Linked DNA regions of Saccharomyces cerevisiae S288C. The gene in region 3 interacts genetically with the main gene of each other region. Each region holds a gene or a part of one and is shown on either strand. Other genes may lie near its edges.

Region 1 (5,410 bases), on a different chromosome or scaffold from region 3:
ACGAAGAACTTTGACAGCTACTATTTTTGTATTTTTGGCTACACCAAAGTGCTTCGATCCGATAATCCCCGCACAGTGAGTTCCATGACCATTCAAATCAGAAGCTTCATCGTTTGCTGGTATAACGGCTCCCCACTCAGCACGCCCTTCAAAGTCCTCGTGCTCGGTATCAATTCCTGTGTCGAGTACATATGATGTGACACCTTTTCCGGCGGCATCTTCATATAAATATTCCAAATCTTGTCCATATTTTGGTTTCTCCCTGTGCGAAACTCTATGTAAACCCCAAGGCGCTTCTTCCTGCAATGACGAATTAGATATTTTTACTGTAGTTTCTTGCTCTACGAACTTTATGATTGGGTCCTGGGAGATTATTTTAATGATTTCATCAGTGAAATAGCCAGTATAACCTCGAAATAGACCATTTATGTCAAAAAAATTATCAATACCTCCAAATTGAGATTTAGATGATACTGAAGAAGAAATTACCCTCCAAAAAGCGTCATTTTCTGTAAGCTTACCTACTGAGGTACTATGATCCTTCTGTACCACTTGCATATGCGATTGAATCTGCTGGAGGGAAATATCTTCATTAAAGACTATGACATACCGATAAGGAAGAAACTCTGTTTTATGAGCGACATGTTGATGTTCAGTGTGAAAATTTCCAGGATCATGCTGTCCCAAACCTTCTCCTGCTCTTACACTGCGAGTACCATCAATATTCTCAATAAAACGAACTATCCCGTCGAAATCAGGGATGATCATACAAAGACAGCAATTTGCCCAAAGTATAGGTAAGATGGTAGAGAATTTCATGTTTAAAGATATAAAGTGGTTGAACAGATTGGAAACCTGAACTTACAATATAGCAACTTGATAAGTTACGTGTTATAAGGACTCAGTCAAAAAAAACTCTTATCTAATAATATATATATGAGTGCCTGTTATCAGTAGCCGCCCTTCCGAGATTCGAGATTCGCCATTGCTCGGAAGACGCGAACGGTGGCTACTCCAGGAGAGAAAATAAGCGGAAAAGCTAACAATACTCACTGCCAAATGTAGTAGTTTTGCCTTACCATTATCTGTACCTTATTTAGATCAAATTATAGTGCATTTTTCAAATATTTTTAAGAGTTGAAATAATCTTTACTTGTAGAGCACATCTTTTATATCAGTTGCGTCTGACTGACATTGTACAGTTATATAAGTTAAAATGTAACTACAAGTCCTTCATGGATTTGCTACCGGAAGTGAATATCTTGTAATAAGACCATAGCCAAAATATGCTAAAGCAAATGAACCCAACAGCACAGTTCAACAACACCCACAAGTCTGGATATTTCGATGGAGGTGCTACAAATTGATCTAAGAAATGATAAAAGCCCATAGCAATATACGTTCCTATGATAAAACTTTTCCAAACCACATTATATGGCAGTAAGCTTCTTCTTCTATAGTCGCTATTGATGCTGCTGATAGAAGGGCCAGGAGTTAAAGATTTTGGCAAGAACCTTGGTGTAATAAAACTGAAATTTCCAATCAGCCAATTGCTTAGTAAGAAAGATACGGCATACTGTAAATGAAGACCGTCCTTTTTCAACAAAGGCCATAGCGTAAACAAAGCCACATTGTTTATCCAACTTACAAGAGATAGAACATTCCAATCAGTAGAGGAGTAGAGTAGTGTAATAGGCAAAAGTGGGATGAGGATAGTTTTCTCATGTACTTGAAAGCTAAAAAGAAAAAAGGACATCGAACATGCGATTAACACGTATGGGAGAAGATGCTTTTTGGGATGAAGTAATGTCATTATCATGGCTGGTAAGAAACCAATCACGGTGGCAATCAATGAATATAGCTGGAGTTGTTGTATAGTGAATCTTTCCTTGTATTTTACAAACACGTTCGTAACGCACCAGAAGTTAGCAACCTTGTCTTCGAAGATGCCCCTGGCAAAAGGGAATATCCTGTGAATACATTGGTGAATATTCTTTAATCCTCCTCCCAAGAAATATAATGGCGCAAATATTATAGCAAAAGTTGCGAGTGTTGCAAACGCAATAACCGTCAATCTAGCTATGTTAAATTTGGGGAACAGCAATGATCGACTTAATAGATAAGCAAAAAAAATCGGTGCATAATACAATGCCATTTGTTTAAAACAAATGGATAGGACAAAACAAACGGCCGCCATAGCATAATACTCATCTAATAAGTTATTTATGGCATAAGCAGTAAGGCCAAGCATGACTGAATTATATTGAAAGTGCCCATGGTCAATGAGCATTAATGAAGGTTGGAACAAAATCGCTGATGCCGCAATAGATTGTCCTATGGGCGACTGGTTTCGATATCTACCAAGCCACTTAGTAAAGTATATTACTGCAGGAAAGTAAAACAATATGTCGCTAATGATGACAGTAGAACGCATATATGTTTTCAGGCCATTATCGGGGGATTCAAAGCCACGTGACTTTTCTAGTGCAAACCAAGATGGATTGAAAAAAGATCCAATTAGGCCCAGAAGGTACGAATGAAATGCTGTTAATGGTGGATAGTCCAATCCCCAGTATTGCAAATCATACCAGTACCACTTAGAAAGCGGTAAATGTTGCGTAATTTCCATCCAATGTCTCTGAGCCTCAAAATCGCCGTACAGCGGTGGACTGCCTTTCCCAGAATATGGACCAAGTCCAATTGTGCACCTCAGTATTACAGCACATACAAAGATAATATATTCTGGCAGCCATTGGTTCCCCACTGGCCTAAACGGATACAAAAAATCATACATTGGAGAAGCATAAAATGATTCTTCTGCTGGTTTGTTCACCAGTAACCTTTTGCCAATGGCCATTTTCTATGCGAAGCCTGATGTGAAGAAAAGAATTCCTGACACCGTCCATTCGGAGTGCCATTGCTTTAACATGAGCAAATCCCTTTTCTAACTTGGAAGTATTGTTCTCGCTGAGTATTTAACACGCACAATATTCGAGCGAAGTATAATCCTGCAAAAATTCAACTATAGATTTCCGGATAACCTCCGACGTTGAAATTATATAAAACTTGTACTTTTCATAATAAAGGAGATGAAGGGAAACACAGAAACAAAAAAAGAGAAAATGGTGTGCATGGGGGAGCCATAACTCCATGACACAGATATTCGATTAGATGAATTTAGAGGTCTTAAATGAAAATTACCATAATTTATAAATAAAAAAATACGCTTGTTTTACATAATCACCTTTTAAATGACAGATTCTTACCTTTGGCGGCAGGCCTCCTCTTTTTAGCTGCCCTTGGTCCATTACTATCGCTAGATGATGGGTCGAATCTCCTTTTCTTTTGTTGTCTATTATTTTGGCCAGGCTTATTAGATAAGATATTCGGAATTTTTGAATAATCCACAGCATCTTTTTCCGTTACACCTTTTTCCTTTGCTGGTTGTTTCTTTTGAATGTTTTTCTTCTTTAAAACAACAAGATCATCAAGATTATCAATCTCAGGCGAGTGATTAGGTGCGCTCGCAGGGTCTACTGTCTTAATCTCCTCTAGCTTGACAGGAACAACGAGAGGTTTCTCTATTTCGAATATGATATCCTCCAAGTTTGCTAAGGCAGACTTGAAATTTTGTGCTCGGATCCTGATATCTTCCGTCTTCACTTTATTTGGCAAGCCGTCTTTGCTATATGCAATATCATGCTCCTCACGTGGTAAAATCTTACCCAACAGAATAGAAGAATTAGTGACAGGCTTGGCTCGGCTCTTGGAAATATTGCTGTTGCACAACACCGAAAACCTTTCCATAACATCACGGATTTGAGGAACACTTATAGTCTCCAACAATATTCCGTCTGCTTTGGTCTCGGAAGATGGAATGGGAGTAGCTTCCTCATTGGTGTTCTTGATGTTTCGTAATGCATCTCTTATCAAATTAGCTAATAGTTTTGCATTCTGGCGGACATGTTCAGTTACGCCATTGGTCAAAGAAACAACACCTATGACATCAGTAGGTGTATATGCGACAAGTGCAGCCAATAACTGGTTTGGCATAACAAATCGTGGCGATTCATCGTCTCTTCTTGCAATAAGATCTCTCCATTGGTATAGCTCTCTTACTAATACTTCCCTCTCAGGTGGTATGTTGTACTGATACATCAATATTTTCCAAGGACTCTCTTTTTCGATTGGAGAATAAACTTCTGAAGAAGGTGTCAGTGGTCTGTACTTTGAATATTCAAACCTTCTTTTTGCGACATTTCTTGATTCATAAAGAACACCTGCTAACTTATTAGACTCGATAAGTTTGTTTCTCAACTGGTCATATATATTTAGTAAAAAGTGAGTATCTGCTCTAGCATATGCCGTCATGGGTTTTGAAAGCGGTCTTATACGCCAGTCAGCCAACTGATATTTCTTTGAAGTTTTAAAATTGGCAAAATTCTCCAAAAGATAGGCCAAACTATGTCTAGGAAGACCGATTGCTTTAGACGCATGGTAAGTATCGAAGAGACCAACGACATACAAACCTAAATCTCGCTGAAGCCAAATAATATCCATGAATGCACCGTGAAAAACTTTCACAATTGAAGGGTTCGTAAACACTTCGTTCAGAATATGTAAATTTTCGCGAAGTTTTAGAGTATCAACTAAATAATCCCTTTCCCTTGTACTAATTTGCATGAGGCAAACAATACCATAGTATGACCTATAATCGTGATGCTCAAGATCAACGGCAATCTCTTTCGTATTTTTCAAGTCCTCCAACATTGATTCGAGTTCTGTACTTGTATCTACCCAAATTGGTACCGAATCATCCCAGGATTTTGAGGGAATCTCCTCTCTAATTTGGAGAATTTCTGGACTATACTCTTGATGATCAATCTCATATTCATAAGGATGGGGGTAGTGACTGGGGTTATTTTCATCATCATCAACCAACCTCAAACTCTCAGAGAGTGGCTTCAAAGCATTTGGTTTTTCCTTCAATAAAGGTATGAACGGATGACTTTCGCTGTTATCAATTGGACTTTTAAATTTCAACTGAGGTTTTTCGACTCTTTTGGTGGGAGAAAAATTCTTTCCTGAAAATTCGCCTAAATACTGAAGATCGGAACCTCTTGACTTTGAGTTTATTGCACAATTCAGCTTATCCAGCGAATGGTCTGACATTTCTAACAAATTATCCATGATGTTTCCAAAGTTGTTCCACAAGTCAGAAATGTCCTCTTCTTTAAGTTCAAATGATTCATGATGCTCATCAATAGAGAGGATTATTTCATTCGCCATATCCGCAAGTTTGTCTGCTTTTGATTTCAGATCTTTACTAAATCCCCTGTCTAAATTCTTGTAAAAGTCTACATCTTGACTGGCTAACGATGATGCTGCTCTCACCACATTTATCACCCTA
Region 2 (5,621 bases), on a different chromosome or scaffold from region 3:
TAATTTCGAAGAACAATGTATTCTATCTGGGAAAACCACACTTTATTTTTGATTCTTGGTACTTTCCCTTTCCTTTTTTTCCTATCTTCGTTTTCTTGATCGGTTTCATTATGATTGCAAAGTGATACGTTACCATTAATGTACGTTGCAGACTTAGAGTTTTCTAAAAATGTAAGAAACTTTATTTTATCTTCCCAGGTGGGTAAAGTTCTTTTTGTACTGAAATCTTTCATTTTTTTTATTGTTCCGCCGTATGGTACGTACCATTGCCAAGAATCGTTATCCCTGAATGGCGTATTATCAGAAGAATATGGGTACTCCATGTTTTCGGTTGCTAGATCCCATGTTTGCTTTAACCTGTTAACTCTTCTTTGAAACCCGATTAGAGGACCGGATGATGTTATATTTTTGTTAACTAAAGGTGCTATGACTGAAGATTTAGATATTAGTCTTTCAAAATTGAAAAATTTGATAGAATCATACTTAATTCTAACCTTCAACTCCTCGCTGACTTCAATATTAGGTTCAATAATGGGGAAACTTACTGCTCCCATCTTATTGTCCCTATTAACGATATTTTGAGAAGAATTTTCTGACGCAAGTTTGGACTGCTGGGAAATCAACCCTTTTTTTATTTTATTAAGGCCTTTATCAGACCGAACACTTCCTCTTATTCGATGTGATATACTGGCATCGGAGTTGAATAGTCGTCTTGTAGTTCTATGTCCATTTGTATCGCTTCTGACAAATTGAGAATGTATCAGATCATCGATCTCTAAGTTTTTCAATAATGCATTTTTTTTGGGTTTTGGCGATTCGTCGTTTGCTGTTAATGACATTATCTGCAAATTATACGGAGACTAATTAATGAAGAAGGAAGAAGAGAGAGGGCGGTATGAATAACACCTATGAGAAAAGAATAGCAATGCTTTTCCTTTTTTACCTTTTATATTCGTTCTTTCTTCTTTTGCCTCTTTTAATATGCTTTGTTTCTGTGCTATTTTCCCGACTCTTTATTTCAAACAATGAAGCCCCCAATTAATCAAGAACCACCAAAATAGCATGTCAGTTGAACACTCAACGACTAAAAAAACGAATAATTTCTTGTTCAATTGGCCTGAACGTTTGACTATGAAACTTTCTGCTCTTCTCTGATCATTGTAAACAAAGAAATGTCAATAAATTATTGTTACCCGACTTTCTATATACTACAAATACCGCCAATGATGCAGTGAGCAAGATATCAATTAATGCAAAAACAATATCGAGTAAGGTAGAAACATCTCTGTGATTAAACATCGTACATATAAATACCATATATAAAAGTATGTGGGAAAAGAACGTTCAAAAAAAAAAAGTAAGTAGTAGGTTAAAAATAAAATCTCAAAAGAGGGAAAAAAAAAAAAGAGGGATAATTTTGGCTTGATTACATTGCGTTACTTAAAGTAGCCTCATCATTCATTCATTATCATCGTTTCATCGACATTAGGTGACGTTTCTCAGTAAAAATTAACTTCATCATGATCATTAATTTCATATTCATATTCGGTTATTTTTTTTTTTTTTTATATTTTTTTTCAATGGTGTTTTTGATGGTTTTTATTATATATATATATTTTTTTATCTTTTATCTTGTGTAAGCACCCCTCATTACTTGTATCGTGCGATATACAAATACCAAACAAACTCTATAATCATAGAATAATGGAAGTATATATTACCATAGATTCTTCTTGTTTTGGTTTTGTAAATCCAGTCCGCTTAAAGAACGATTCAAGCCCTGTTCCAAGCCATCATCTAGTCCAGAGTGACTCAAAGATTTATAGATCAAGTCGGCACTATTCAAATTGTGTGCGGACAACATGGACTCATCGTGATAAGACTGATATGAGAAATTAGAATGTACTGAGCCATTTGTGTGCTGTGGAAGCAGTTGGGACTGTGAGTTTGCTGAAGATGGGCCGTTAAGGTTGTACAACTGCTGGGAAGACAATGAAGCATTTTGGTATGCCACTGGTACCCGTTGTTGAGTTTGGGACTGTGCTGGTGGTTGCGCTTGGGATAGGGTTTGGCTGTTGATTGGGATTTGTGAATTTGGAGGTGAAATTTGAGAATTTCTCAGTAAGGGATTAACGGAATTGATTTGATAATGGTTGGCAGAATAACCGGATGGAATTCTTGAGGATGGTGTTAAAGTAGCTTGTTGTCTTAAAAAAGATTGTTGTTGTTGCGCAGCTGACTGAACATTTTGCTGTGTTTGTGGTTGAGGTTGTTGCGGTTGGTCTGCGGAATTGTATTGAGAACTATGGTGTATGTTCATTTTAGGTGAGGTTAGTGTTGGTTGCATGGAGAATTGTCCCTGTGAAGAAATTTTTGGTGTTGAGCTGGCGCTATTGTTATTAATGATGACATTGTTACCGTTACCGTTATTACTGTTAATAGTATTGCTGTTGGAAGAATTGTTAACGGCCTGATTGCTAATACTATTCGCTGCAGCTGCTGCATGGGCCTGTAACAAACTTGTATAAGATTGTGACCTATTCATGGAGCCGCCAGTGGAGTTTGGCTGCAAAGGATGAGCAGATGTCATTTGACCTTGTTGTTGCAAATGAGATTGTAAATTAGCATGATCCAGAATCTTTCTTCTGATAATAATAAATCTTGGATCATATACTTCTACTAGCCCTAAGTACGAGCACAAAACATTGATAATTCTCTTGTGGGAAGCGGATATACCCATGGGATAAGCCAACTCGTAATAATACTTTTCTCTATCCTTAAATAACAATAATTGGGAATAAATTTCCAAAGTGTCAGGGTCATTGAAGTCCAGTTGTTGGGGTGGGAGAGGCAAAGTGGAAGTTGATGGTAAAGGCGCATAAAATCTCTCAGTGGACATCTGGGCTTGATTATTAACGTTTGTTTGGTACAACGATGAAGAAGTATGTTGGGCAGAAAGTGAAGGTTGGTTCAGAATGATGTTACCACTATTGTTGTTATTAGAACTGTTATTGTTAATGGTATTATTCATTGGACTGTTCATCATGCTATTAGCATTAATGCCGTTCATTAGAGTCGAGAATAATTGATTGTTAGAAGTATTATTGTTTCCGCTTCCACTCATTTTAGATAAAGAATCCAAAGAAAGATTAGATGACGATCTGTGTTGTTCTTCTAATTGTCCTCTTTTCTCTCTCTTCTCCCTCTCGATTCTTTCTCTTTCAGCTTGGGGAAGCATTTTTTTATATTCCACTTTCAATTTCCTCCCGCTGATTTCCTTTCCATTCAAAGAAGTTATCACTTGAGTAGTTTCTTCAGGAGTGGTGAAATTCGCAAAGGCTAGTCCTCTGAAAATACCGTTATCAAAGTGGTAATTGAAGGCATAAGGAAGGGGAAGATCCATTTCTTCAATAATGTCTAACAATTGCTCTTTTTTAATAGCAAACGGAATGTTTTTAATAACAATAGCATTTGGGATAACATCATCGTCCAAAGCACCATTGGTGGGGGCATTATTCAAATTTGTAGAAGAAACGTTTTGTTCGGCATTTTTTGCAGAGTTCTCACCAGTTTCCGTTTGCACACCGTTTTCTTTGTCAATTGCATCTCTAGTTTCGATAGATTGCTGATTTGTTTCCTGGTCATTAGTCTCCGTATTTATATTATTATCCTGAGCATCATTGATGGCTGCAGGAGGAGCATTCTCAAAAGAACTGGTCTCCATTTCTTATTGTTGTTGAACACGCTTTCCCTAGTCTGTAGCCTGCCTCTATGAGTACTATATCACACTTCTTCTTGCGCTAATCTCCAAAGACCTGCTGGTAATCTCAGCTGAAAGGCTGCCTTTAATTGTTATTCTTTTCCAGGAAAAAATCGCAAAGTTGCAGCATCCGTGTTTCGTGACATCATTGAAGGTTACCCTAATCTATTACCTCGGATTAACTTGAATTAATAAGGACACACAGGTATAGGGAAGGTAAAGTTGAAGTAATGATAAGAAGTGGGCAGCACCGAAGCAGTTTATCTGAACTAACTTCTGTACGACTCGAGAATATAGTAAGAACACCATCATTAACCTGAAAGTTAAAAATGTCAGACCCTGTAGAGTTATTGAAAAGAGTATGTAGTAGGGAAATATATCAAAGGAACAAAATGAAAGCTATGTGATTCCGTAATTTACGAAGGCAAATTACTAACATTGAAATACGGGAATTGATATTTCCCGTTGTGTTAAGGCTGAGAAGAAGGGTGTTCCTTCATCGGGTTTCATGAAATTGTTTAGCGGTTCTGATTCATACAAGTTTGAGGAGGCTGCTGATCTTTGTGTCCAAGCAGCCACCATTTACCGTCTAAGAAAAGAGTTAAACTTGGCAGGAGACTCGTTTTTGAAAGCTGCTGACTATCAGAAAAAGGCTGGTAATGAAGACGAAGCAGGAAATACCTACGTAGAGGCTTATAAATGCTTTAAAAGCGGTGGAAACTCTGTGAACGCCGTGGATTCATTAGAAAATGCTATTCAAATTTTTACTCATAGGGGGCAGTTCCGGAGAGGTGCTAATTTCAAGTTTGAGCTTGGAGAAATTCTAGAAAATGATTTGCATGACTATGCAAAAGCTATAGATTGCTATGAGCTCGCTGGTGAGTGGTATGCCCAAGACCAGTCGGTAGCATTATCGAATAAGTGTTTTATCAAATGCGCAGATCTAAAGGCTCTTGACGGTCAATATATTGAAGCAAGTGATATATATTCGAAGTTGATCAAGAGCAGCATGGGCAATAGATTGAGCCAATGGAGTTTGAAGGATTACTTCCTAAAAAAAGGGCTTTGTCAGCTAGCTGCTACTGATGCAGTCGCTGCTGCAAGAACTTTACAAGAGGGTCAAAGTGAAGATCCGAATTTTGCGGATTCAAGGGAGTCAAATTTCTTGAAAAGTTTAATCGATGCTGTTAATGAAGGTGATAGCGAGCAGCTAAGCGAACACTGTAAGGAGTTTGACAATTTTATGAGACTAGATAAATGGAAAATTACCATTTTGAATAAAATTAAGGAGTCCATCCAGCAACAAGAAGATGATTTGTTATGAACGGCATATACTTACGCGCACATACATATATACATATATATTATAAATGTAACACTTGTTTTACCCGAAACGGCGAAGTAATTGTGTACCGCCGTGCACCTTTTCCTCGAGATAAACATATAGCGATGACTTAGAGAACAAAGTAGTATTAGTATCATATACTTCCAACGTTAATCAAGCGCAATAAACCTTTGTTCGTGTGTTTCAAAGTTATTGCAAGAGCGAAGTTGAAGCCATCTTTTCACGAGAAGTTAGCTGTGGTTCGAGTCTGTCGCACGCCGTGTAATGTAAGGATCTTCCCTTAGCTTTTCTGATCCGGAGCCCTTGAGGGATATTACGCATCGCGTATCTTCATACGATTACTGTACTTTGCTGACTTGCATTCTTGATATTGGGCTATAGTTGGCACTTCGCTCGTTTCTTTTCTTTCGTTATATAACGTAACCTTTTTTTTTTTAACTTCCTTATCCTGCCCCTTATCACTCTGAACCCCATAGATAAACAAAGACAGAACTCTGTCCTACTTTATCTATTACT
Region 3 (7,931 bases):
TGAATACGATGAACTGAGCGATGACAGTGATGAAGAGTATGATAACTGTGAAGACGAAGACAGTTTGGATTATGCTGATTCCGCCGCATATGCATTGTGTAGATCCAAAAGTAAGGACAAGATATCATGGGATGAAGAAGAACAGGCGCGATTAATGGGCGTTGTAAAATTTAATTCAGAGCATTACAGGGACTAGGAAATAATACTAATTAAATAATTCTAATAATTCTAATATTAATAACAATAATAATAAGAATAATAATTATACAATAACACATGTATTTCCTAACTCACAATCGTTTGGACTACATATGCTGTCTAGTGCCTTATTGCGACTTTGCCCGTTTGATAACTTACTTCGATTGTTTAGTATTCAAAAAGGAAAAAGGCGTTTTCTTTTTCGTGTACTTTTTTTCGAAATTCTGTTGAATTTATTCGAACTCAGAATTGGTCCATCAAGAGCATCCAAAATACAAAATAACTCATCATCACACAAGAAGAAGCACAACTCCAAGCAATTTCTACAATATGTCAAAAAAACTTGCGTCACCATTGTCCTTCTTACCCCTTTATAATTTGCTTTCTGCTGTTGGTTGGTCTTATTTGCTTTACTTGGTCATCTCCTTGTACCCAAAAGTTGGACAGCCAGCATTCTTCTACCAAACTAAAAATGTCGCTACCCTTGTTCAATGTGGTGCTATAATCGAGATCATAAACTCATTTTTAGGAGTTGTACGTTCCCCATTGCTGACCACTGTTGCACAAGTGTCTTCAAGACTACTAGTTGTCCTCGGCATCTTCCAATTGTTGCCAAACACAAGTGGTGTTCAATCAGTTGTTTACATATCATTATTACTGGCATGGTCTATAACTGAGATCGTCAGATACTTGTATTATTTTTTCATGTTGGTATTCAAGAATGGCGCACCAAAGATCTTAATTCTATTAAGATATAATTTGTTCTGGATTTTGTACCCCACTGGTGTTGCCAGCGAACTACGCATTATTTACTGTGCTTTAAATGCAGCTGAATCTCAGTATTCTTTACTTTACAAAAGAATTTTAATAGCGGCCATGCTCGCTTATATCCCAGGCTTCCCAATGCTCTTCCTACACATGGTAGCACAGAGAAAGAAAGTCATGAAAAGTTTAAGATCCTCTTTCGGGAAGAAACTAATTTGAATTCTTTAGATAAATTCTTCTGTATTTTTTATAAGAATATTAGCCTTCACATTGAAATGGCTTCAACGCTCTTAACCATAATCACTAGTATCTTGCGGTGCACGGGCTTTATATTGAGCAAAATTGCGAAGGGTAGCCGAATTAGAGAACTCTTAGAAAGATGTCGAAGCTCACTCGGAGTCGACCTTCACAGCCTACTGAAACAACTGTGCCGAGACAATCTTAAGTGTGTTGCTCTAATTTTCATGCTACAACTGAAATTCATATGGCCAGTGGCCAGAATCACACCTATTTATAGGCCATTTACCAGTCATCCATTCAGAAATTTAGCTACTTCCTCAAGCATCAGTAGTACAAAAGCTAAGACTACTAAGACAGATACAACTCCACTAAAATTATCAAATGAACTATATGCAATATTCAAGATTCATAATCGTCCATATTTGGTGACCGAGGGCGACAGAGTTATTCTTCCATTCAAATTGAAGCAAGCGGAGGTGGGTGACATTTTAAACATGACCGATGTAACAACTTTAGGATCTAGAAACTACAAGCTAGTTGGTCATCCAATCAATACTTCTCTGTATACTTTAAAAGCAACCGTTGTTGGGAAAACTAAAAGGGCTTTCCAAACTAGGGAGGTAACGAAGAGAAGAAATAGACGGGTCCGTCATGCAAAGAGTAAAGGTGATTTGACAATCTTAAGAATATCAGAACTGAGTATGAACTGAATTTTAGGGATATGTACATATACGCATACGTATAAAATCATGTAAATAACAATAAAATTTGACACACTTTCTTCGGCCCCAATGGCCATTCAATTCCAGACCGACGCGTCTTCTAAGTTATAATGCTATGAAATTTCAACAAGTTAATTAAAAGTAAGCATAATAATAAAATCAGGTAATGGATTCACCAAAAAAAAAAATAAAAAAACAAGGGCAGAGGGGTGACCATTAGTACGAAACACTAAATATAGTATTAAAATAGTTCAACTCCACCTCCAAATGCCCTTTTTGAGGAAAATAGCGGGGACAGCACATACACATTCTAGGTCTGATTCGAACTCATCTGTGAAATTCGGCCATCAGCCGACTAGTTCGGTAGCATCAACCAAAAGTTCAAGCAAAAGCCCTCGTGCAACATCTCGCAAAAGCATTTATGATGATATTAGAAGCCAATTTCCCAACCTAACCCCCAACTCTACCTCTTCTCAGTTTTACGAAAGCACGCCAGTTATCGAACAATCCTTTAATTGGACGACAGATGACCACATCTCAGCTGGAACGCTTGAAAACCCAACGAGCTTTACAAACAGTTCTTATAAAAATGACAATGGACCTAGTAGCCTCTCTGATTCGAGGAAATCCTCCGGTGGCAATAGCGTAAATAGTTTGTCCTTTGACAAGCTAATTCTATCGTGGGATCCTACAGACCCTGATGAATGGACAATGCATCGCGTCACCTCATGGTTTAAATTTCATGATTTTCCAGAATCCTGGATATTGTTTTTCAAAAAGCATCAATTGTTTGGTCACAGATTTATAAAGTTGCTTGCATATGATAATTTCGCTGTTTATGAAAAGTATTTGCCGCAGACTAAAACTGCTTCATATACCAGGTTTCAGCAGTTATTGAAAAAAACAATGACCAAGAACGTAACAAATAGCCATATTCGTCAGAAGAGCGCTAGCAAACTTAAAAGTTCCAGGTCTTCCAGCGAATCGATCAAATCAAAATTAAAAAATAGTAAATCGCAAGAGGATATTTCAAATTCTAGATCAACGTCAGAATCTGCATTGAGCCCAACAAAATCGGGCCCTTCCAAGACCGATGAAAAGAATTTTTTACATTCTACTTCAACACACCAAAAAACCAAAAGCGCAAGTTCACTATACAGAAGAAGTTTTATATCCCTAAGAGGCTCATCATCGAGCAATGCTTCCTCAGCAAAATCACCTTCAAACATCAAGTTAAGTATACCGGCTCGGCCGCACTCAATTATTGAATCTAACAGTACACTTACCAAATCGGCGAGCCCACCTGCATCTCCTTCGTATCCTAGCATATTTAGAAGACATCACAAAAGTAGTTCATCTGAGTCGTCATTATTAAATTCCCTTTTTGGTAGTGGAATAGGCGAGGAAGCTCCAACAAAGCCTAATCCACAAGGTCATAGTCTGTCTAGTGAAAATTTAGCTAAAGGAAAATCTAAACACTATGAAACTAATGTGTCTTCACCTTTAAAACAATCTTCACTACCCACTTCGGATGATAAAGGTAATTTATGGAATAAATTCAAAAGAAAGAGCCAAATAGGGGTTCCTAGCCCAAATACGGTAGCTTATGTAACGTCTCAAGAAACTCCATCCTTAAAATCGAATTCGAGTACTGCTACCTTAACCGTACAAACGGCAGATGTAAATATACCATCTCCATCTTCATCACCACCGCCAATACCCAAAACTGCAAACAGAAGTTTGGAGGTCATCAGCACAGAAGATACACCTAAAATTTCTTCAACCACGGCGTCTTTTAAAGAAACGTATCCTGATTGTATTAATCCAGACAAGACAGTTCCAGTGCCGGTAAATAATCAAAAGTATAGTGTAAAGAACTTTTTACTGGACCAAAAATTTTATCCTCTGAAGAAAACAGGGTTAAATGATAGTGAGAATAAATATATTCTGGTTACCAAAGATAATGTTAGTTTTGTTCCGCTAAACTTAAAAAGTGTAGCAAAATTATCCAGTTTCAAAGAATCTGCTCTCACAAAATTGGGAATCAATCACAAAAATGTCACTTTCCATATGACAGACTTTGATTGCGATATTGGTGCTGCAATTCCAGATGATACTTTGGAATTTTTGAAAAAAAGCTTGTTTTTGAACACTTCTGGAAAAATTTATATCAAAGACCAAATGAAGCTTCAACAAAAACCGAAACCTGCTCCTCTCACCTCAGAAAACAATGTTCCTTTAAAATCGGTGAAAAGTAAGAGTTCAATGAGGTCCGGAACAAGCAGTCTGATAGCATCGACAGATGATGTTTCCATTGTCACTTCGTCTTCTGACATAACATCATTTGATGAACATGCATCAGGAAGTGGGCGCAGGTACCCCCAAACCCCGAGTTATTACTATGACAGAGTTTCCAATACTAATCCAACTGAAGAATTGAATTATTGGAATATTAAAGAAGTTCTTTCTCATGAGGAAAATGCACCAAAAATGGTTTTTAAAACAAGTCCAAAATTAGAACTCAACCTACCAGATAAAGGAAGTAAATTAAATATTCCTACCCCCATAACAGAAAATGAAAGCAAGAGTAGTTTTCAAGTGCTAAGAAAAGATGAGGGGACTGAAATTGATTTCAATCATCGTAGGGAATCGCCTTATACAAAACCAGAACTGGCACCAAAAAGAGAAGCTCCCAAGCCTCCCGCAAATACTTCTCCTCAGAGGACCTTATCAACTTCTAAACAGAATAAACCGATCCGCCTAGTGAGGGCAAGTACAAAAATTTCGAGAAGCAAAAGATCGAAACCATTGCCGCCACAATTATTATCATCTCCTATAGAAGCTAGCAGCTCGTCTCCTGATTCGCTTACTTCCTCATATACTCCTGCTTCGACTCATGTTTTGATACCGCAACCTTATAAGGGTGCAAACGATGTTATGCGTAGGTTGAAAACAGACCAGGACTCGACGAGTACTTCCCCATCTTTGAAAATGAAACAGAAAGTGAATCGCTCAAATTCAACTGTATCGACTTCAAATTCAATTTTCTATTCTCCTTCACCATTGTTAAAAAGAGGTAACTCAAAAAGAGTTGTTTCGTCGACATCTGCGGCCGATATATTTGAAGAGAATGACATAACATTCGCGGATGCTCCGCCGATGTTTGACAGCGATGATAGTGATGACGATTCTAGTTCATCCGATGACATTATCTGGTCCAAGAAAAAAACAGCTCCTGAGACTAATAATGAAAACAAAAAGGATGAGAAAAGCGATAACAGTTCTACGCATTCTGACGAAATATTCTATGATTCTCAAACGCAGGACAAAATGGAGAGAAAGATGACCTTTAGACCATCTCCGGAGGTCGTTTATCAAAATTTAGAGAAATTCTTCCCAAGGGCTAACTTAGATAAGCCAATCACTGAAGGAATAGCTTCACCAACATCTCCGAAATCCTTAGACAGCCTACTTTCACCAAAGAATGTGGCTTCATCGAGAACTGAGCCAAGCACTCCTTCCCGTCCCGTCCCTCCTGATAGCTCATACGAGTTCATACAGGATGGACTTAACGGTAAAAATAAACCATTGAATCAAGCTAAGACACCTAAAAGAACAAAAACCATAAGAACCATTGCACATGAAGCTAGTTTAGCAAGAAAAAACTCTGTAAAACTAAAAAGACAGAACACCAAAATGTGGGGTACAAGAATGGTCGAAGTGACCGAAAACCATATGGTGTCAATTAATAAAGCCAAAAATTCGAAAGGTGAGTATAAGGAATTCGCCTGGATGAAGGGTGAAATGATAGGGAAGGGATCTTTCGGTGCTGTTTATTTATGTTTAAACGTTACTACAGGTGAGATGATGGCCGTTAAGCAGGTTGAGGTCCCCAAGTATAGCTCACAAAATGAAGCCATTCTAAGTACCGTGGAAGCATTAAGATCTGAAGTGTCCACGTTAAAAGATTTAGATCATCTTAATATTGTTCAATACTTAGGTTTTGAGAATAAAAACAATATTTACAGTTTGTTTTTAGAATATGTTGCTGGTGGCTCCGTGGGATCCTTGATTAGAATGTATGGAAGATTCGATGAACCGTTGATCAAACATTTAACAACACAAGTATTAAAAGGATTGGCATACCTACACTCGAAAGGTATTCTCCACAGGGATATGAAGGCAGACAACTTACTTTTGGATCAAGATGGTATCTGCAAAATCAGTGACTTCGGAATTTCAAGAAAATCAAAGGACATATACTCTAATTCGGATATGACCATGCGAGGAACAGTCTTCTGGATGGCTCCTGAAATGGTTGATACAAAGCAAGGCTACAGTGCAAAAGTTGATATATGGTCTCTGGGATGCATCGTTCTGGAAATGTTTGCTGGTAAGCGCCCGTGGTCCAACTTAGAAGTCGTCGCAGCCATGTTCAAAATTGGAAAGTCAAAATCGGCACCACCAATTCCTGAGGACACTTTACCATTGATATCGCAAATCGGACGAAATTTTCTGGACGCATGCTTCGAGATAAATCCAGAGAAAAGGCCAACCGCTAACGAGCTTCTTTCTCATCCTTTTAGTGAAGTAAATGAAACATTCAATTTCAAATCTACCAGACTCGCGAAGTTTATAAAGTCAAATGATAAGTTAAACTCTTCAAAATTAAGGATAACCTCTCAGGAGAATAAAACTGAATAGCTATTAGGATCGATCTATACTTAAGATATTTATGCATACGTAATAATATAGAACAATAAACATAGATGACGGAATGACGGAATGACTGAAAATTAAGAACAAAGAAAATTAAAAAATTTCTGCTGATACTTATTCAGACGAAAAATGGTGCACAATAAGGGTGTCAAAACGACGATTCGACCCTTCAAATATTACAGTCCTCACCTCTTCGCTGAAGGGCTCACTTTCATCAGGAAGGTCCTCTCCAATAATAAAGGTAGTCTCCTCTATATCAGCTAAAGCAGTATCTGATAAACCAACATCAAGCACAGTCTCTATAAAGGACGGCTTTTCAATTGCTTCTTCTGGAACTTTCGTTTCAAAGGGGATATCCACAATTTTAATGGTAGATTCGTTTAGCCAGTCATGCTCAGCAAATGCAGTTGACAAATCTTTTGCGAAATCAATATTCTTGCTGTTAATAAATATACTACAGGATGCATTATCATTATTATAGCCATCTCTATAGCATATCAATAAGAGAAGATATAGTCCAAGATAATCGGATTGTGTCAGGTATGGTTTTGGAAGTAATAAATTGAACCGTTTCCTCTTAAAGCGATCAGCATTTAATCTGCCATAGGTATTTGAAATTTGAACGGCAAAATTTGCCTTGAGTGACTGGAAAATAGACTTGAAGAAAGTAGATGATAGTTCATTCAGACCTAGGAGATGAGAATAAATGTGATCAAAGTTTGCGTATTTTTCATCAATGAAGACTGGGCTCCCTCTATACTCATACGAGGCCCCTTTTAATGGCAATAAGATCAGATCTGTGGAATCCATTTTCATCGTCGCTATATTAGCTGCCTTTTCACGCATTGTAGAAAATATGACTTCACTTGAAAATGGTATTTTGCTCAGGTTTGAAAATATATCAAAAATTTGTAATAGTGAATCTGTATTTGCGGTAAAGTGGGGATCATCATTATATAGAGAAGATGATTGCAGCAGATCAGTTGTCCGTTCAGTGAGCAATCGTAAATGAATGGCCCTCAATGCACCGACTCCCTCAAACGGGGTCAATTTTTCATCTATAACACTTAAATTGGTATCCACATCGTCAACGCTTTTAGACCAGATATGAACCATCTTTTTTATTTTGAATGTGTTAGATTTCAATGTGGAATCAGTAGCTGTTGTCATTCTGCTCAAGGAGGTTTCGTTCTTATGTTTATTATTCTTAGGCTTGGGAGATACCCCTAAAGACAGGTAATTTAGCAGCTTTAGAGATGGAGAGATCGCTTCTGTAGTGTTTATCAC
Region 4 (5,622 bases), on a different chromosome or scaffold from region 3:
CATCTAGGTCTAAACCACCTGCGGACGATGCACTACCACCTAATGGTGAATCGGAGTGGTATTCATCACTAACTTTCTTACCCAAAAGCATATACCACCATTTCGTAAATTTGTTAGCTCTATATGCCGTAACGACCTTACCATCTGAGTCAATAAAGTCCGTCCTTGATGATTGGATACAAAACATGTAAATTAAAGCCAGTATCACCAGAATCAGTGGTACACCAATACCAACCACACAACCAATGACGATGTTTCTATTTTTTTTAGAAAGACCCGAACTTTTGGATTTATTGCTTGAATCAGCGGTTGCTGATGGTGTGTACGTAACGGTAGTATAATGATTTGAGAGAATCGTCTTACCGTTAATAATACTGGTGATAGTGCTTCCTTGATTATAGGCAGTAGTGGATGGTGTGGAGGAGGTTGAAGGTGCAGAAGTGATTGTTGATGGGGATGATGAAGAGGACGGCGTTGACGACAGTGAGGATGAAGATGATGTTGACGTTTGCGTAGAAGACGTCGATGATTCAGAAGTTGCGGATGTCGAAGAGATGGAAAAGGATGAGGAGGATGAAGAATCTGAAGAAGCAGAGGAAGAGCTGCTGGTGCTTGAATCTGATGAGAAACTGAATGATGTGAACGATATGGAGGCAATGCTGGTAGACGAACTCGTATGTGACACGAGGGACCTACTTGATGTCGATGAAGTAAGGGAAGATGAGTCAGCACTTGAGGAAGAAACCATACTGGATGACAAAATGGAACTTGAAGAACTAACTCTACTTACGGAAGAACGTGCAGTAGATACTGCTGAAGAATTCGAAGATGATGATTGCACGAAAAATTGTGCGCGTATCGTCGATATGCATGACAGTATTAAAAGTAATAAGCGGAAACTATTCTTGGTTGTGAAAGACAACATACTATGATTTGCGTATTTTATATGTCCAATCTTCAACGAAAGTAGCGAAATAATGGTACTATTTGTTCAACGAGAGTAAAAATATAGTATGTCTTTGAGGCAGAGGCGTCTTCGTGAATCTAGAATGTGTTTAGGGATAGTTGTATTCTTTTCTAGCCTACCTAAAACGCAAAGTCAGCTTTAAATTATTTTTCAAATTCGCAATATAAATGTATACCTTCCTTATAAGACTTATAACGGAAAATATGAAGAATCAGAAAAAAATGGTCCACTGTACTCGTAACTTAATTTGAAAGCCTTGAATGGTGAGTTTGGTAAGTAAATGAAACTAGAAAATAATATGGGGATGATCTGAAACCAACTTGGTTATTGGAAAGTTGTGCTAAACCAAACACAGGAAAAAAGAGTGTAAAAACTGGGGTGATGTCTTTATGTTCTTTATGACTTTGTTAATTTGCAGATTATGAAAGCAAAACGGCAAAAATAACGGGTAAAGATTGATTCAAATCTGAAACAGCAAATTCATTTACCATCCCATCTAACGGTGCTCCTTCTGAATGGCCCAATGCAAACTCCTACAAAAAAATTGCCATTTTTTTGCACAGACCACGCCGCTCAGCCTCGAGAAACATTCCTCGCGGCATTTCCGTGAGATCTCTCAATTAATTTCTTTTTTTAGATTTTTTTCCGTTTTCCGTTTGAATAATTTCGCGTTTTCGTAGAGCGCGACGGCCTATAAATAGACAGATTTTGAATTTCCTTTTCGGGCTTTTAAGATTCACTCCCCAATTTTTAATAACGGACATTTCGTGCTTGGCGGCTACTGAGTACCCCTCTCAAGAAAATGAAGTGATCGCCAAAGCAGTTATCATATTTGTAACTAGTTATACATGCTTACATATACACAGATATATAAAAAATAGATTATATTTGCTGAGGGATTCTCAGTCGAAAAAATAAACGTGCGTCGTGGAACTCATTGAAGGCATCCATTAATCATTTCTTTTTCCCTTTCTTCTTATTCTTCTTATTCTTCTTCTTATTACTGTTGCTGTTGCCAGTATTTTTTTTAGCTTCTTTAGTGGACAAAACGTCATCTGTATTTACTTCGGCTTCCGTTGTCTCTTGTTCTTCCGTGACGGCACTGCTTTCAAGAGAAGCAGAGGCCTCAGTTTTTTGGTGGGTAGTACTCTCACCAGAGGCAGCCTCCTTGGAAACGTTGTTGATATCGTCTTCTGCCTCTGAACCTTTTTCTTCTGGTTTTACATCTTCATTGGATGGCTCGACTGCAACACTTTCGGTAGCATCTTTAGGTTCGGCTTCAAGTTCTATATCTTCTTCTTGATGTCTTGGAGAGGCAATGTCGGTAGTAAACTCGTTGGTTTCTTGTACGGGTTCACCGGCATCCTCCACAGGTTCACTGGTATCTTCCACAGGTTCATTGGCATCCTCCACAGGTTTGTTGGAATCCTCCACAGGTTTGTTGGAATCCTCCACAGGTTTGTTGGAATCCTCCACAGGTTTGTTGGAATCCTTCACAGGTTTGTTGGAATCCTCCACAGGTTCATTGGAATCCTCCGCAGGTTCATTGGCATCTTCTATAGACTCATTTACTTCTGGAGTTTCAATTTCAGCTTCTGGACGTCCAAATTCCATTGCTGCATCATCTGCAGGTTCGTTATTTTCCCCTGCACTTTCTGTGGTTATGTTGTTTTCAGCTACTTCTTCAGTCTGTACAAATCCATTATCAGCTTGTTCGTTAGAATGTGTATCGGTATCCTCACTTTTCTGTCCCGTTGCTTCTTCATTTGGAGAACTTTCAGCCACAGCTTCATTCGGTTCTTCTACCACGGCTTCTGCGGAAGAGTCCGCTTTGTTTTCCTCTATATTGGGAGTACCAACAGGTTCGCTTTTCAAACTTCTTACGGAGGGGTTGACGGTTTCGATGGTGGTTTCATTCTCCAAAGCCGTCGAAGCATGCAATGGATCTTCTACAGGACTTACTGGGGCAGTTTCATGTCCACTCTTTTCTCCTTGTTCCTTAGCTTCTGAAGGATTACTCTCATTGTCATTAGGTGATGCAACCTGTTCGACATCTGTTGTGTCCTCGGGCATCTTATTTTCATCCGCTACTTCGGCTACCGGCTCATTCTCCTTTGAGTACGAAAGTTCTTCCTCATTAACTGGTGGGAATGTGTAGTTTTTCAGTATACTTTGATCTGCATCTAAGTAAAATCCTCTAACACCAACGATTCTTTTCTCAACCTCACAAGCTCTCACCCATTCCGGTCTGACAATTGGTATGTTGTTATGTTTTGCCCTTATAAGCTCTTCATTGCTTTCTTCATTGTCTAGATCGTTACAGACAAAATGCGTAGTATCTATCGCAACATGACGTTGTAAAGGTCTCGCCCCGATGTGAGACAAACATTGGGATATCTGTAAGTCTGAAATTTCTTTCAATGGATCCAATGGACCCAAACATACAGTGATACCAGACATGTCAGTCATCTTATGTGTACGCAATATAACCTTTTCAGACCATAATGTTCCTGACGTGGTTATCAGTTTCAATTGAAATTCGTATGGCGTATCAACGGAAAGACCGGATATTTTCGTGGTAGTCACTTTGAATGGATTTGGAATTACCATTGAACGTATTCCCTTCCTATAAAGGATCAGTGATTTCAATTTTGCTGAGCCAAGTTTCAATGGATCCCATGCTAGAACACAGCTCGTTTGCGTAACGTTAACAATTTTCAAAACTGGGCTCTCCGGTTTATGGGTACCATACTTCTCCAAAATTTTGGCTTGTATACTCTTAAAATGATTCCTTTGTTTTTTTTCCTCCTCTAAATTTTGTGAAACTTGCATTTTTATGATAGATCCAGCTTTAACATTTTCTGGTAATAATACTGTAGGAAACTCAATAACATGATGATCCTGAGTAGTCAGTAACGCCAATGAGGCATCCAACTTACCTACTGTTAACAGTACATCAACTGAAGACATTATTCGCTACTCGACCAGGTTCTAAAACGGAAACGTAACATGCAAGCTAAACCGCGATAACATTTAGCATCTACGCAATAAATAATGAGGCTTTAGAAAGGAGAACTTGAAGGGCCGACCGAACTTGTTAAAAAAGAAGTGCAGCTACATAATTTCCGTCTTAAGTGACATCTTTTTAGTGGTCGACTCGAGGCTACTGGAAGCAATAAGATAAGGATATGGCAATAGCTTATAAACGGTATCATATGAACATAAAGCGCATTGCATAACTATTGTTAACTAAAATTTTAATTGCCCAAAAGTATTTGATTAAATTATATTTTATGCATGCTACTTATTGTACGTTACAGCCGGTAAGGAAAAAATTTGAAAATTCTGAATTGGAGGACCTCTTCTTCGACACAGAATTTGATACGCGGTTGTTGAAGATTTGTCTTGGGCAATCATGTTAAGCATTATTGGAAGAAGTACTGAATTGCTCGTTAGGGCGTAGGATATCGGAGCGAGCGAACTTTGTTGCCACTTCAATCGGAGCCTTGAAATCATGGAGAAGACCATCGGGTATTCAAATTCCAATTGAGACACTATTAAAGAGGAAAAATATTCATTAAAATGAGGAATAACCTGGCTTATTTCGACATAGTTTCCCTCTTTAGAAAAAAAATTGACAGTTGTTGATAACTCGGAAAGGTAATAGATTTCAGGATATCCTTTGGCATGCGTATGAAGCTCTCTGGGTTTGCTTATGAACGTACTTATCTGAGCATCCGTTAAAATTGTACATTTTAAACTGAGAATGACGTGGTTTTCTATGGTGCTTACATCTTGAACTTGATAAAACAGTTGTTCCTCCCAAAAGCGAATACTTGAACCTACAATCTCGCGCAATTTTGTAAACAACTCTTGCTCTTCCGTAACTAATCGATCGTTCATTTTAAAATTCAGTTTAATCTTCACTTTTCCTGGTACGAGTGACAAAGCTACCAGTTATTATAGTTAGTAACGCTTCATTCACGGATGGGTTTTAATTTTGCTAGGAGAAACATACTTTCAACATTCCAGGTGGTAGCAGTGGAATATATAATGAATTAGAGTCGGTTGATTCCGGTCCCTCAATGCGTACGGTTGAAGTCCAAGCAGATAACAATTTTCCTGCCTCATCATTATTTACAGCGCCACAACTTTCTAAAAATACGGTCAAAAATGTGATATCTCTTGCCATTAGATTAAATTTTGAAATGTTGGAATCCAATGGTGAACTAACGTGCTGTTGCGCTTATTTCTTACTGTTTGTTTTCCTTCCATTTTTTATATTTGGTATAACCGCTGAAGGTTATAGAAATTAGCTCTTTAAGAGAAAAAGGCGAAAAAATTAGTGTAAAAGTGAATTATACTACAGAAAAAAAAACTATACTAAAACACAGATAGGTAAGTCATATGTCACATTTCTACTCGCTTGTACCCTCCAATTAATTCCTGTAGGGGAAAATTGGAAATTGTAAAGAGAAAGATGAAAGAAAGAACGAAGCAATTCCGGACGGCAAATCATTCTTTGTTTCCAAGAACTTGCTTAACAGGTTCGGTTTGGTCCACATATAGTCTATGTTCTTGGATATACCTGATGACCGAATTAGGTAACAAATATTGTACAGACATGGCGCGTCTGATAAATAGACGAACTTTCG

What was found.
Region 1: mutations in BCK1 (region 3) and ALG6 together harm fitness more than expected from each alone (negative genetic interaction), as found in Saccharomyces cerevisiae (5 studies listed by BioGRID).
Region 2: mutations in BCK1 (region 3) and PIN4 together harm fitness more than expected from each alone (negative genetic interaction), as found in Saccharomyces cerevisiae (5 studies listed by BioGRID, with this or other methods).
Region 4: mutations in BCK1 (region 3) and CHS5 together harm fitness more than expected from each alone (negative genetic interaction), as found in Saccharomyces cerevisiae (7 studies listed by BioGRID, with this or other methods).

The regions. Positions count from the first base shown.
Region 1 is NC_001147.6:326,864-332,273, reverse strand, and holds ALG6 (dolichyl-P-Glc:Man(9)GlcNAc(2)-PP-dolichol alpha-1,3-glucosyltransferase), read right to left. Parts: upstream 2,858-5,410; coding exon 1,223-2,857; downstream 1-1,222. Other genes in the region: putative subtilisin-like protease YSP3, read right to left, coding at 1-819; exosome nuclease subunit RRP6, read right to left, coding at 3,241-5,410. UniProt on the Saccharomyces cerevisiae protein: Dolichyl pyrophosphate Man9GlcNAc2 alpha-1,3-glucosyltransferase that operates in the biosynthetic pathway of dolichol-linked oligosaccharides, the glycan precursors employed in protein asparagine (N)-glycosylation.
Region 2 is NC_001134.8:121,036-126,656, forward strand, and holds PIN4 (Pin4p), read right to left. Parts: upstream 3,725-5,621; coding exon 1,718-3,724; downstream 1-1,717. Other genes in the region: SAS3 (histone acetyltransferase), read right to left, coding at 1-839; alpha-soluble NSF attachment protein SEC17, read left to right, coding at 4,090-4,119, 4,236-5,084. UniProt on the Saccharomyces cerevisiae protein: Involved in normal G2/M phase transition of the mitotic cell cycle. In association with RAD53, also involved in checkpoint control in response to DNA damage.
Region 3 is NC_001142.9:245,063-252,993, forward strand, and holds BCK1 (mitogen-activated protein kinase kinase kinase BCK1), read left to right. Parts: upstream 1-2,192; coding exon 2,193-6,629; downstream 6,630-7,931. Other genes in the region: SAP185 (Sap185p), read left to right, coding at 1-196; enoyl-CoA hydratase PHS1, read left to right, coding at 529-1,182; mitochondrial 54S ribosomal protein bL21m MRPL49, read left to right, coding at 1,428-1,913; KHA1 (Kha1p), read right to left, coding at 6,759-7,931. UniProt on the Saccharomyces cerevisiae protein: Serine/threonine protein kinase involved in a signal transduction pathway that plays a role in yeast cell morphogenesis and cell growth. This pathway seems to start by SMP3; then involve the kinase PKC1 that may act on this kinase.
Region 4 is NC_001144.5:785,979-791,600, reverse strand, and holds CHS5 (Chs5p), read right to left. Parts: upstream 3,938-5,622; coding exon 1,922-3,937; downstream 1-1,921. Other genes in the region: MID2 (Mid2p), read right to left, coding at 1-925; JIP3 (Jip3p), read left to right, coding at 555-932; REC102 (Rec102p), read right to left, coding at 4,268-4,888, 4,986-5,159; nicotinamide-nucleotide adenylyltransferase NMA1, read right to left, coding at 5,483-5,622. UniProt on the Saccharomyces cerevisiae protein: Component of the CHS5/6 complex which mediates export of specific cargo proteins, including chitin synthase CHS3. Also involved in targeting FUS1 to sites of polarized growth.